Linked DNA regions of Tamandua tetradactyla. The protein of the gene in region 1 interacts with the protein of each later gene in a biochemical or structural test. Links are inferred from orthologs where the notes say so. Each region holds a gene or a part of one and is shown in the gene's direction. Other genes may lie near its edges.

Region 1 (6,514 bases):
CTTGCAAGTTTTAACTTACATAAAACAGTATGGACAACAGCAATAGTATACTCCAATAATTATACCTAAACCCTAAAGAAGTAAAAAATGGCCATGAATGCTGCATAAACTAAATTGTTCACTGAATTATTTGATTGTGAAAATGCTGGAAACGGACCGTGTATGATAGAAGTGTCAGCAATACAAATTAAGGGTTATTTGTAACATATTCCAAAATTTCCTTTTTGTACATACATAGTGCTCTAATGACTGAGAATGAAATGCCCTCTTATCTCCTCAGGCAAGGCCCCAGGTCCTTCTGCTATGTCTGAGGGAAGTGTAGATGTCTTTGTAGTTTAAATCTATGCCAGAGATGAACAAATTCAGTGCAGGACAAGATTACTTCACTAGAGAAATTTAAGAGAACAGGGATTTAGGGCACCATGGCAACAGCAAAGATGAGGCCCTGAGAGCTCTCAAGTGTGAGCACTCTACGGTTATTTTCAAATACATTCTTGTCACAGCACTGAGGCTTGGAGACTTGAGGGAAATGCTCAAGGTCAGTTACTCATGCTTCTGATCTGCCAGTCAGTATTATCTTTTATATACAAGCATTGCCCCTCAGAAACACAATGAAAGCCTGTATTTAATTTTAAGCTTCCTAGAAAGCACATTAACAAAAAGTAAACGGAAGTGTAGTTCATTGTAATGTTTTAACCCACTGTAATACAAAACTATCACTTTAAAATAAAAAGCTTAATGAAATTCTAAGATGTTTTTAGCACATTAAAATCTGGAATGTATTTTCAAATTTGACATCCATTTTAATTACCTGTAATCCAAGTACCTAATCTCCAATCTGTTTTGTGATAGTGACCCAACCGAAGTAAAGAGAACACTTGCTCTGAGCTGAATACAAATGTATTCAATTATCCTGACCCATTCCTTCAGAAAGGAGGGGATCCCCAAAGCCTTACACATTAACTCACCCTATCCACTTCACACCGAGCTATAACCAGGGAATGAGGCAGATATACCAAGTTCAACTCTATTGTCAATTTCGCTGGAGGCAAGGCAAAATTGCAAGAAAATCGTTACCTAAAGACGAGTACAACTACTTTTAAGTGAATCTATGGGTGGCTCTGAAAAGAGCCGTTGTCAAATGAGAAAGGTTTAGCTTACGCCCTCTCCCCGCGAATGCGGCGAGCGAGCTGGATGTCCTTGGGCATGATGGTGACGCGCTTGGCGTGGATGGCGCACAGGTTGGTGTCCTCGAAGAGTCCTACCAGGTAGGCCTCGCACGCCTCCTGCAGCGCCATCACCGCCGAGCTCTGGAAGCGCAGGTCGGTCTTGAAATCCTGCGCGATTTCGCGCACCAGCCGCTGAAACGGCAGCTTGCGGATCAGCAGCTCGGTGGACTTCTGGTAGCGGCGGATCTCGCGCAGCGCCACGGTACCGGGCCGGTAGCGGTGCGGCTTCTTCACGCCGCCCGTGGCCGGCGCGCTCTTGCGAGCCGCCTTAGTGGCCAGCTGCTTGCGCGGTGCTTTGCCGCCCGTGGACTTGCGGGCCGTCTGCTTAGTGCGAGCCATCTACAAAGGCTGGGCACAACAGATACCAATGTTGAGTTTGGCGGTGAGGTTGATTTTAAATATAGTCAGAACCAATTTGATTGGCTTTCTGAATTTTCAAAAATCCCGCGCGAGATAGCCATTGGCTGATGAGGGATTGTAATGATTGGCTATTTGCTGGGAACTCTTAATGAATTACTCTACTTCCGGATCCTCTACCCTTTTGTTTACTTTCAGAGATCTGAGAATTTTAGGAAGTTCTAGTTCAGCCTGTCTCCAACTATAATGTATATAAGGAGAGACCTAGATCTAGTTTAAAATGTGAATTCAGTAAATCGGGTTGTCCTAACATTCTGCATATAATCTACTGGTTATATCAATGCTGCTTGTTGTGCATTCCCAGTACAATTTCATTATTGTTTCTTTTGTTTTTTTAACTATACCTCAAAGTGCCTGGATTGTCTCTCCTTCATTCTAACTGCGGTTACATTTACCTCCTGGGTGTTTCTATCTTTGACGTATATAAGCAGGGTATCCGGGTGCAGTACTTACAGAGAGTAAAGCGCCCAGACAGGTGTTCTATAGCGGAGAGTTGCTTTTGTGTGCTGTGTAAAAATGGGTTGTAATTCGTGCTTGACTGTTAACTGAAAGTTTATTAACCTCGCCGCAACCCAGTTGCTGAACAAAATTCCTGTTACACGTATTCAGCACTTAAAGGACATCCCAGTAAGGCTGTTTTTCCAAAGCCCAGATCGATCTTTACACAATAAAAACAACTCTACAGTTACAAGCTTTTCTCGTGAGAATGTGGTTGGCTCTGAAAAGAGCCTTTGTTAAAATAAGCCTGAAGTAACCTTGTTGAGCTGGGCTTTTATTTGCCTTTAGCCTTGTGGTGGCTCTCGGTCTTCTTGGGCAGTAGTACTGCCTGGATGTTGGGCAGGACGCCGCCCTGCGCGATGGTTACCTTGCCCAGCAGCTTGTTGAGTTCCTCGTCGTTGCGGATAGCCAGCTGCAGGTGGCGGGGGATGATGCGGGTCTTCTTGTTATCGCGGGCCGCGTTGCCTGCCAACTCCAGGATCTCGGCGGTCAGGTACTCCAGCACCGCTGCCAGATACACAGGGGCTCCGGCCCCGACTCGCTCGGCATAGTTGCCCTTGCGGAGCAGGCGGTGCACACGGCCCACTGGGAACTGCAGACCCGCTCTCGATGAGCGAGTCTTCGCCTTAGCACGAACTTTACCTCCTTGTTTACCGCGTCCAGACATTCTGAACTTATTAAGTGCAACAGCTAGCCAACGCGCAAAGCGGAAAACTAAGTATGCTACTAAAAAAAAAGCTTTTTATAGGCAATGGAAGGTTTCAGACTTTAAGCTACCCTATTGGCCGAAATGGTTCTGTAGTATTTGTCCAATAGGAAAAGAAAATGTGAATCCTTTATTTGCATAAACACCTCCCTTTCGGGAAGTGTGCTATTTTTATCCAATCAGCAGTAAGTGTTCTTCAACCCTCATTTACATAAAGCAACTATAAATAATTGAGCTGCTATAGTTCCACTATTTTTAGTTGTGGAGATCGTAATTGTTTTTGCGAGTAGCTTTTAAGAAATAACAATGCCTGAACCTTCCAAATCTGCTCCAGCTCCTAAGAAGGGTTCAAAGAAGGCTATAACTAAGGCCCAGAAGAAAGATGGTAAGAAACGTAAACGCAGCCGCAAAGAGAGCTATTCCATCTATGTGTACAAGGTGCTGAAGCAGGTCCACCCCGACACCGGCATCTCGTCCAAGGCCATGGGCATCATGAACTCGTTCGTCAACGACATTTTCGAGCGCATCGCGGGCGAGGCATCGCGCCTGGCGCATTACAACAAGCGCTCGACCATCACCTCCAGGGAGATCCAGACGGCTGTGCGCCTGCTGCTTCCCGGGGAGCTGGCCAAGCACGCCGTGTCCGAGGGCACCAAGGCCGTCACCAAGTACACTAGTTCCAAGTAAACACCTGTATATGTGCCTCCTACTCCAAAGGCTCTTTTCAGAGCCACCCACTTTTTCCAGAGAGAGTTGTAATTGCGGCACCAACAAAACTGTCAAGCTAGTTTTTCTAGGAAATTATTTCCGTGATAATTTGAAGCTGGCGGGGAGGTGAGGTTTGTTCTAACGCCCATTTGCGCACACCGCAAGATTGCGGTGTTTTACATCTCTGTACTTACCGCGTGTAAGCCCCAGGATTAGGTAAATTCCTATATTTCTGCTCAAATGTGCTGGGGGGAATTCTTTAATTTTCTGTGGGTGTGGGTTACGGAGCAGCTAGGAATTTCAGCATAAGGAAATTGAGAGCCATAGTTGGCCGTATAGTCTTCCTGGGGGTTGGGTGGTGTGTGCGAGTACTGGAGCCGTTTCTGGCCGCCTGTGACATGTTCGAGCTGTTTTGGAGTGCTATGAGATGAGGTTGTTCTAATCGTGCTATAATTGGTCACCGATGGCAACAAAAAGCCTTTTAGATTTTTCTTGCATATTAGAAACCTCGGTCAGTTTTACTGGGGCATACGCTGTTTCGGCCTTGCCAGCAAAATGGGGCGGGGATGATGGCTTGAATCCTGGGGGTGTGTGGGGGGGATTTGAATTTCCCGCGCTTTCTGGCGCCACCTCCTTGAATGCAGGCTGAGAAAAAAGATTCGTGACTGCCTATTGAAAAGAAACAAAGATATCTTAATTTTAGTCAGCACTTTATTTGGGTAAAATACGGCAGTGCTTTTGGAAGAAAAAGCAAAATTTCTCAAACTTATCTATTTTAGAGGAAAATAAAAATTACCTTGTCTTAGATTCCTAAGATGTCACCAGCCAGCAATATGAGAAGGACTTTGCAACAGGTCATCGCGAAAGATACCTTTGTCTTATAATTGTTAATTTTTTTTTAACATTATAACCATGTCGTCGGAACCCTTTGCTCCTCAATTACTAGCAAACAGGCTGAGTTTAAGAATCATTGTTCTTTAGGTTTTTCCCCTGTAGCAGTGAGACCTGAGTAGTATTTTTTAACATCTTCAAAGTGATCTCTTGAGGAGGGATTATTATCTCCCTATCTTGTCATTCAGAATTTATCTCCTTCCTCTCTCCTTTTCTTCTGTCCGTCCATCGGTTGTATCCCTTTCTCTTTTCCTTTTTTCTTCAAATTAGAAGAGAATATTTGATGCTTTACTTAGTTAAGAAGCCTAGACCAAAACATGGGTCTCCGAAGCCTGAAAACTAGACCTTTTTTGCCATTTTAAGGCCACCTTACTGGTCCTTATAAGTGAATGGGGAATTAAAAAAAAGAAGAAAGTCTGATGCCTGTGCTCTAGGGTTCTGCATTGGGGAGTGGTGAGCTATCTATCCAAAAAAGATGACCTGAAGATAAGATCCGACTCCTCAGGGGCCAGAGAGGAGGAATTGCCCTTGGCTGAGCTGTGAGTGCCTGGAAATAGGTGGAGGGGGTTCAGGAGAATGTTGATTTGGCGAGAGGTTGACTGGGAATTAGGAAAACAGAAGAAAGGCCTGCAAAGAGACAGATGGGAGGAGGCCCTGAGTAAGTTCAAGATTTGGGAAAGGTGGGGATAAGATTTGGGGAAGGAGGGGAGAAGGTTGCGAAGAAAGAAATACTCCACCCCCTCATGGCAGGTGAGAGGGCATAGATTTTCTCAATATTATCTTCAGCAGAATTGTCTCCCAGAAATACCAGATGTGCTTTTCATTTCCATTAAATAATATACATGATATATGTCTGAGGTTTTCAAAGATTTCCTGGAAAAATACCTGCCCTTCATTGAAACACACACATGACATATAAATGCAAATAAAAATCAATCGAAATTCTATTTCCTACATATTTTGGTGAACAGCTTTCCAGAAATTTTACTTAATGCAAATCTATACACCCAGATATACAAACGTTATATGAAAGGAAAGTGAAGGAGTGTAGAAGAGGAGACTGCTCGAAAAGAAGGAACGGGACAGACCTTAACAGATCATGGCAAGTTTTATTAGAGAGCTTGAGAGGGATGGCCTGAGGAACAGTCAAGTCTGGAGGACTGACTGAACCAAGAGTTGTGCTAAGGGGAGGGAGAGTGGCATATTTATAGAACAGGGCTTATTAAAACCAAGAATATAAAAAAACAAAGGAACAATGTATTTTGTGGTTACACGTCTGCAGTTAAATGTTTGATATGCTTCGGAGATTGTTAGGAATAGGCAGGTGGGGCTCTCCAGTTCTCCAGGGTGGATGAAGTTCAATCAGCCGTGACTGGTTAGATCAGTTTGTTAGTTCCATCATTATATAAATGCTATTATGAAGTTAATACACACTGAATAAAGAAAAACATATCTATATTATTTTCCTTGGTGCAACGTTCTTTAGAAAACTTGTAATTGACCAATCTCTGTCCCTTTAAGGAGTATGTAAATCTTCTACAAGCTAAATAAGCCTTTGCCTTCTTTACAAGCCAGGAATGTCTTTCTCAAGGGCTGGGGGCCATTTTTCTGAAATATAAACACCAAGAAAGCACCCTTATCTCCCCATTTCCATGGGAAATTAATTTAAGCACCTGGCTCCATATTGTAACCATCTAAATGTCATAGAAATATGAGAAATTTTATGATCCCTTTGGATACAGGCAACTAGTAAACACAAGTACCAATTAACAAGTGAACTTATGATTAACTGTTTGACAAATGGTGCTGTGAAGTCCTGTTACTATACTTGAAGACTAGTTATCATTTAACCTGAGAAAATATATGTAATGGGTTGTTTCTTATTGGCTATATTAAAGAGTGAGATGCCTTTCTTTTTATGTTTTTTTGTAGTCCCTTTAGAGATTGCCCGTGATACATCACGTTTTACTTTAATGCTTACTCAATAGTAAAATTGTTTATATTTTTCTGCTCCCTTTGATGAGAGGTTTTTCTGGGTTGGGAGAAAAATTTGGTTTTTATTTCC
Region 2 (7,757 bases), on another chromosome or scaffold:
CTCTCTGTGCTCTACTCTTAAGGGGTAGACCATCAGAATCACAAGGCTCGGTGGGTGGAGCAGGACAGTATGTGGGGGCAATAACTGGCTGTTTTTCAGGTGGGAGTGGCACTGCTCAGACCTCCAGGGCCACTGAACTCTCCTTACCAGCATGCTGCCAAAGAAGGGACACGCAAGACAGAAGATAATTCACATGTGGGGGATGAGAACAAGGGAAGCAGGACGGACTGTCTCTCAGGACACCAAGGACCTTCATGTTCCCCTTTGCCACCCACCCACTCACCAGTAGGATGACAGGGCAACTTCTCTCTCTAGCTCCTCCTCCTCCCCTTAATATCTGCCTGGCCACCCACTAAAGTGACTCCATTTCTGCCTCTCTTTACCCCACTGCCGCCTTTTGTGTCGTCCTTCAACCCCTGGTGCATGTTGCATAAATCCTTAATATGTAAACACATCCAAAATTCCATGAGGTCAAAACTTTGCATCTTTTTTCTTTTTTTTCACACTGAAAGTGCTATGAAAACTCCAGAGGAAGACAAATTAATGTGCCAAAGGCCACCTAAATTTCAAGGGATCTCTACTGTGTACAGAGTGATGGAAAATTCCAGCATGGAAAGAATAAGCCTTCCCTCCCTTGTTGGGGCCCTCCAGTTAGAACCATGAGAGTGCCAGCATCTTTTCCACTCAGCTACACAGTGTCTGGCTGACCTGTGGACCAGGTATCTGTGGATTTGAAGTGTACTCGGGCTTTTTGCTGCATTGCCATGATTTTAGAGGTCTTGGTGTTTCTTAGCTAGCAAAGAACAGCCAAATTAAAGCAGCTCTTTTTTTATTTGGGTAAACTGAGACTTAGATGTGAGGAGTAGCTCCTCCAAGGCTATAACACAGCTGGAAATGGTGGGAATAATTATAAAAACACAGTTCTCTGAATTCCCATGCAATCACTCCTGCAATCAAATTTATCAAAGAACGTTGATTCTTACTTGAGCTTCTCAGCTTATATTTGGTGTGGGGGAGAAAATTTAGGGGCATGCTTCTCTCCAAGGTCATGTGAGTCCTGCACTCAGTCAGAAAAATCAAATAGGTTAGTCCTTGTTCCTAAAATCTTTATACATCTTTTGTGGAAAAGAATCTACTTGATGACACTTCTATGCCTTAGAGTTCTAGTTCATCCTATTTCTGAGTTTTAGAGAGAAGAGACATGACTTTCCTAGACACTTTGAATGTAGCATTGAACATTCTTAATAGTCTATTCTTCAGATAGGATAGGAATTGCAACAAGCCCTGGAGATAACAACTCTATGGGGGTTGTGTCTTGGATCCTCTAATTTTGAAAAGGAAGGAAAATTCTCTTGGGCAATCAACTCCTTGAGGACAGAAGTCCTTTTACTTACTGTTTCTCACACCACAACCTTGTGCAGTTGTACAATTAAGGGACTGTTGTACTTTTGTTGAATGCATTGCCATGTATATGATCTGCTTAGTTGGGGTGATCAGGTTAACTAAGTAATAACTTTAAGAGGGCTTGGAAATAGACAATCGATTTCTTTTTCATTGTTGTATGTATAGTTATAGTATATACATATATGCAGGATGGGTGCTGAGAGACTTGTGAAAGTAAAACTCTTTTTACATATAATATGTGTGCCAGTTTGAAAGGATGTCTGTGCCCTAGAAAAGCCATGTTTTAATCCTAATCCCATTTTGTAAAAGCAGCCGTTTCTTCTAATCCCTAATCAGAACTGTATGTTTGAAACTGTAATTAGATCATCTCTCTTGAGATGTGAGTCAATCAAGAGTGGTTGTTAAACTGGATTAGGTGGAGTCTCCATCCGTTCTAGGCTGGTCTTGATTACTTTACTGGAATCCTATAAAAGAGGAAACATTTTGGAGAAAGGAGGAGATTCAGAGAGAACAGAGAAGAATGACAGAGCCATGAGAAAGACACGACAGCGAACGATGAGAGAGAAAGCCAGGAGATACAGAGAGAGCAAAAAAGAAGGACACAGCCACTAGAAGCAGAGAGTCCACCAGCCAGCCACTGTGTTCGCCATGTGCCTTTCCAGATGAGAGAGAAATCCTGATGGTGTTTGCCATGCGCCTTTCCACTTGAGAAAGAAACCTGGAACTTCATTAGCCTTCTTGAATCAAGGTATCTTTCCCTGGATGCCTTAGATTGGACATTTCTATAGACCTGTTTTAATTGGGACATTTTCTCAGCCTTAAAAACTGTTAACTCGCAACTTATTAAATTCCCCCTTTTTAAAAATTTTTATTTTTATTTATTTATTTTTGCATGGGCAGGCACCAGGAATCAAAGCAGGTCTCAAGCATGGCAGGCAAGAATTCTGCCACAAAGCCACCATGGCCCGCCCATAAATTCCCCCTTTTTAAAAGCCATTCCATTTCTGGTATATTGCATTTCCCCAGGGAGCTAACCAGAACACTGACTTAGTGTTCTTCACAGGTTAGTACTATAATTATCATTTTTTTGGTTTGTTTTACAGATGACACAATTAAGGTGCAGGGCAGTTCATTTTTATCTGAGGTCACACAGCTAACAAGTGCCTAACTCAGGTGTATTTGAACCTGAAGCCCATGCTTATGTTTCCTCTCCTTCACACTCCAGGGTAACATCTCTCCTTCTCTACTTACTTCTACAGACTAGATTCTGATAGTTCCCTGAAGGATTCAGGCTTGGGGAGCTAGCTGTCTTCCCAGCAATCACCCACCCCTATCCCACGGAATCTTTTCCCTGGTGATCCTGGGCCTGGAATCAGGTGAGGCCCGAACCTCCATTCCAGGGGCTTTCTCGTTATTCTGTCACCCTTGTTACCTTAAGCAGAGTGAGGGTTTGTCTGCTTTCACGGGACAGCGGCGCCATTCATCACTGCCGGAGGGCAGGATCCAGGGCTAGGGGCCACACGTGGAGAGGGGAGGGGCCAAGGGGCGGCCCTCTTGTGACCAGCCCTGAGGATAAGGCCAGGAGAGGCTGGCTGAGGAGTGGTCGGTCAGCAGCAACTGCTGATGCTCTGTATCACACGCCTGGGGTCCACGGTAATCCAGACCTTTAAACAAATAGCTGGGCTGCGTGTGTGGCGGGGGCGAGGAGAGCGGATTTTTCAGGGGTCGCGCACTTAAAGAAGGGGTGGCTATGGGGTTGGTTAATGCTGGGAGGGCGTGAGAAGGAACCAGGATTACAGGCGGAACCGCAGGAAAGGAGGGCGCTGAAGCAAGAGAGAGGGTGTGAGAGGGAGCAGAAGAGGGAAAGAGCCTAAGAAGACGTAGGAGTGTGGCTGACCGACTCAAAGACAGTGCGCGCCTGTGTGCAGGGACGAAAGGTGGAACACACCGGCCCCAGAAGCATAGTTAAGATAAGAGCAGGGAGAAGCTTTCTTCTCCTGTGCCCATTTTCCAAGTGACTCCCTTTCAGCCATTTTTAAGGTAAAATGTTAACTCAAATGTGAGTGTGTGTGTGTGTGTGATTTCTATTTTTGCATTTTGTTTTTTAGTATATAAGGAAAGAACGTCAGAGGAAGCTGTATGAAAGTGAGGCTGCACGAGGCGCAGAGAACGCAGTTAGAGGGTGACGCCTTTTTAAAAAGAAGTTTCCATGTTTCTCCTCCCAAAAGCTCAGGCTGAGTCCCGCCGCAGGATCTGATCGCCTTTAAACCAGGTAACTTCCTCCGTATCCACCCCAGTTCCCGGAGCCAGTCAGAGTGGAGGGGGTGGAGCCCGCAGCTGCATCGGGCTGAGCTCGAAGGCGGATGGAAGGGGTCCCTGGAGCATAAACTGAGCACCGCGGCCTTGATGCTAGGCATGTCACTCATAGAAGTCCCTGTCTCATTCCAGCTACAATCGCAGCTCGAATCCAGACGTCCATCTCCTTAGGCGGGGCGGTGAGGTGATGGCCCAGATACCAGAAGTTTCCATGTCCTCCGGTTCAGCGGTCCTCCCGAGCTTGGAAGCTGGAGGTGGAGCTTTGCTTGAGGTGGCTGAAAAGGCGGGGGGAATGGAGGAGGAGGCAGTAAGGGTGGCGAAGGCATGTTCTGGCCAGGGAGCTGAGAAGAGCAAGCTGGAATCATTACAAGAGCATAAGCCTGATCCTGACGAGAACTTGACACGGAGCGGTGACGGCGAGGAGAAGGTGCTCTTTACAATCCACCCTCGCTGTCATAGCAGCGCCTCGCCGGTTTGCCCACGCCGCAAGCCCCGCCCTCGGCCCCAGCCCTGGGCACGCTCCCGAGGCCCTTCCAGGCCCTCAGACCCTCCCCCGCCTCCAGTCCGTCCCCTGCTACCGCCCCTCCCCCTGCCTTCGCTCCCGCCCCCACCCTGGCTGGGGCGCAGATCCAGGCGGAGATCACAACCCAGGTCCGTGCCGCAGATATGGCGAGGCTGTTCTGGTGAGCTAGGCAGCTCTGGGGATCGAGATGGCTCAGGGGGCTGGTTGCTGGAGATGGAGTTTGATAAGGGTCCTATAGGATGTTGTCATGTAGAGAGTTTTAAAGTGGTTAAGAACTGGCAGAAGAACCTGCGGTTGATCTACCAGCGTTTCGTTTGGAGCGGGACCCCGGAGACTAGGAAACGTAAAGCAAAGTCGTGCATCTGTCGTGTATGTAGTACCCATATGAACAGGCTCCACTCTTGTCTCTCCTGTGTCTTTTTTGGCTGCTTTGCTGAAAAACATATTCACAAACATGCAGAAACAAAACAGCACAATTTAGCTATCGACCTCTATCATGGAGTTATATATTGCTTTATATGTAAGGATTATGTATATGACAAGGACATAGAACGGATTGCCAAAGATACAAAAGAAAAAAATTTGAAGTTACTAACTTCCACCTCAACAGACGTTTCTCAACAACAGTATATGACATCAGGTGTTAAAGAGAAGCAATCAACCTGTGAGTCAAAGGAACAGGAGCCAAAATTTGTGAAACCCAAGAAAAAGAGGAGAAAAAAGTCAGTTTATACTGTAGGTCTGAGGGGGCTAATCAATCTTGGAAATACCTGCTTTATGAACTGTGTTGTCCAGGCACTTACCCACATTCCTCTATTGAAAGATTTCTTCCTCTCTGACAAGCACAAATGTATAATGACAAGCCCCGGCTTGTGTCTGGTCTGTGAAATGTCTTCACTTTTTCAGGCTATGTACTCTGGGAGCCGAACTCCTCATATTCCCTATAAGTTATTGCACCTGATATGGATTCATGCAGAACATTTAGCAGGGTACAGGCAACAGGATGCCCATGAGTTCCTTATTGCAATATTAGATGTGCTGCATAGACACAGCAAAGATGATAGTGTTGCACAAGAAGCCAATAACCCCAACTGTTGTAACTGTATCATTGACCAAATCTTCACAGGTGGCCTCCAGTCAGACGTCACATGTCAAACCTGCCACAGCATCTCCACTACAATTGACCCATGCTGGGACATCAGTTTGGACTTGCCTGGTTCTTGTGCCACATTCACTTCCCAGAGCCCAGAGAAGGCTGACAGCGCAGTAAGAAGGGATGATCACATACCAGGAATCCCCTCTCTCACAGACTGCCTACAGTGGTTTACAAGACCAGAGCACCTAGGAAGCAGTGCCAAAATCAAATGCAGTAGTTGTCAAAGCTACCAAGAATCTACCAAACAGCTCACAATGAAGAAATTACCTGCTGTGGCCTGTTTTCATCTCAAACGGTTTGAACATGTAGGTAAACAGAGACGAAAGATTAATACTTTTATCTCCTTTCCCTTGGAGCTGGACATGACTCCATTTTTGGCCTCCACTAAAGAGAGCAGAATGAAAGGCCAGCCAGCAACAGACTGTTTGCCCAATGAGAATAAGTATTCCTTGTTTGCAGTGATTAATCACCATGGAACTTTGGAAAGTGGGCACTATACTAGCTTTATCCGGCAACAAAAGGACCAGTGGTTCAGCTGTGATGATGCCATCATCACCAAAGCTACCATTGAAGACTTACTTTACAGTGAAGGATATTTACTGTTCTATCACAAACAGAGCCTAGAGAAAGACTAGTCTCATAATTTGCAAGAAAATAGTAAAATGAATGAATAGGTATGGATCCTGAAGTGACACACAAACCTACCTGGAATGGACAATGACCACAACACATATGTGACAACTCATACCTTGATATAAAGGACGTATTTTATTACCATGGCCCAAGAATCTGTAGGAGAAAACAAATTAATCCTAACCAGTGACCATTCAGCCTTAAAGAAAGGGGGAATAGGTTGAAATTGGTCACATATGAGCACAGTTACATGAAAAGAATGCTCTAGGTAGAGAATGGGAATAGAGATGTTCTAACACTACTACAGAAATATTGTGGGAAGTAAAGGGGTATTCCTTCATCAGCAAATAATTTCTGTTAATGTTCCAGCAGTGTCTGACCAGTCAAATAGTTTGGAAAATAAAGAGAATATTTTAAAAGAAAAATTTAAAAGCTTTAAGGAAGTAAAACATTTTAAAAAGAAAAAAAAACATTTTTTAAAACTTTAAAGAAAACATTAAGTTAAATATTTTGAAAGTAAATGTTTTAAAGATTAAAAATGATTTTAATTTTAAAAAGGCTCAAAAATTATTCAAATCAGTTTTATAAGCAAAAAGTTAGGAAATCTTAAAATTTAAAAATGGAAAATGAAAAAGGAAAGGAAAGGAAAAAGAATAAAAACTAAAACTTTGAAAAAAGGTAAGGTGAAAGGATCAATTTTTAAAATTACAAAGATAAAAAAAGGAAAATATTAGAATGCAAAGCTTAAGAGTTAAAGTTTAAAATGAAAGAAAATGCAATGTAGAGGAATACCTTTAAATTAAAGTATAAAGTATGTATTGAAAAACTAAAGGTTAACAAAATTAATATTTGTGTAATTAAGAAATTAATTTACACTAAATAAGGAATGGAAAGAAAATTCAATATTAAGTTTACAGAAAAGTTTTAAACCAGGAAACTTTAGAACAATTCAAAGCAAAGTTAGACAAAATTTATTTTAAAAATTCAATACATTTTAAAAAAGGAAAAATTAGAGAAAATAGAGAATTTGCAAAAAATATAAAGAATCTTAGACAAGTCCAATTAGAGAGATTTACATGAAAACTTTAAATATGTAAACAAAAAGGATGAGAAGCTTAAAAAAATTTTAATGAAACACTTAAATGAAAATATAAAAATTTAATAACTTTAAAACATTTACATGGAAATGATTATAAAATTAAAAAGTTAAAAAGATTGTATTTTTTTATTTAAACACATTGAAATGTATATGGGTATGATGCAGTAAACTGTTGGTGACAGGAATGAGAAGACAAAGGTTTTGTGAATATATATTTTTGTGAATTTTATGTTGATACATCAATACAAATTTGAAAAAAGAAGGCACAGACCCACACTTTAACCAGCATCTTAACTTCCAATTGTGAGATTGCTGCAAGGCCTGAATTTGTCTGCCCTCTTATGTTCCCTGCCCTATTTCTAATTCCCTAAGGCAATAGAAATATTTCCAAGACAGAATCAACTTCATCTCCGAATGAAGAAAACATTAGAGACTCTAATCCTCTCCACCCAATTAGAATTACATTTTTCATAATCCTAAACCCCTGCAAAGGGACTTTAAAAAATCTAATGGTTTAGGGAAAATAGATCACAACTGTGAATCTCTGGCTTTGGGGCTGGAGCCACATGGCCTGATTGAGGAAGTGGCAGGGACCTATGTGTAAGAACCTCCCAACTTCCTCTCTC

What was found. The genes of interacting proteins can lie anywhere in the genome.
Region 2: the proteins of histone H2B type 1-B (region 1) and USP51 form a complex in vitro, tested with the Homo sapiens proteins (2 studies listed by BioGRID, with this or other methods). The link is inferred for Tamandua tetradactyla from reciprocal best matches to the Homo sapiens genes H2BC3 and USP51.

What each region holds. Positions count from the first base shown.
Region 1 is NC_135351.1:29,337,543-29,344,056, reverse strand, and holds histone H2B type 1-B, read left to right. Parts: upstream 1-3,084; 5' UTR 3,085-3,156; coding exon 3,157-3,537; 3' UTR 3,538-3,590; downstream 3,591-6,514. Other genes in the region: histone H3.1, read right to left, coding at 1,158-1,568; histone H2A type 1-like, read right to left, coding at 2,419-2,811. UniProt on the Homo sapiens protein: Core component of nucleosome. Nucleosomes wrap and compact DNA into chromatin, limiting DNA accessibility to the cellular machineries which require DNA as a template.
Region 2 is NC_135353.1:113,251,826-113,259,582, reverse strand, and holds USP51 (ubiquitin carboxyl-terminal hydrolase 51), read left to right. Parts: upstream 1-2,954; 5' UTR 2,955-3,057; intron 3,058-3,512; 5' UTR 3,513-3,676; intron 3,677-3,852; 5' UTR 3,853-3,907; coding exon 3,908-6,034; 3' UTR 6,035-6,437; downstream 6,438-7,757.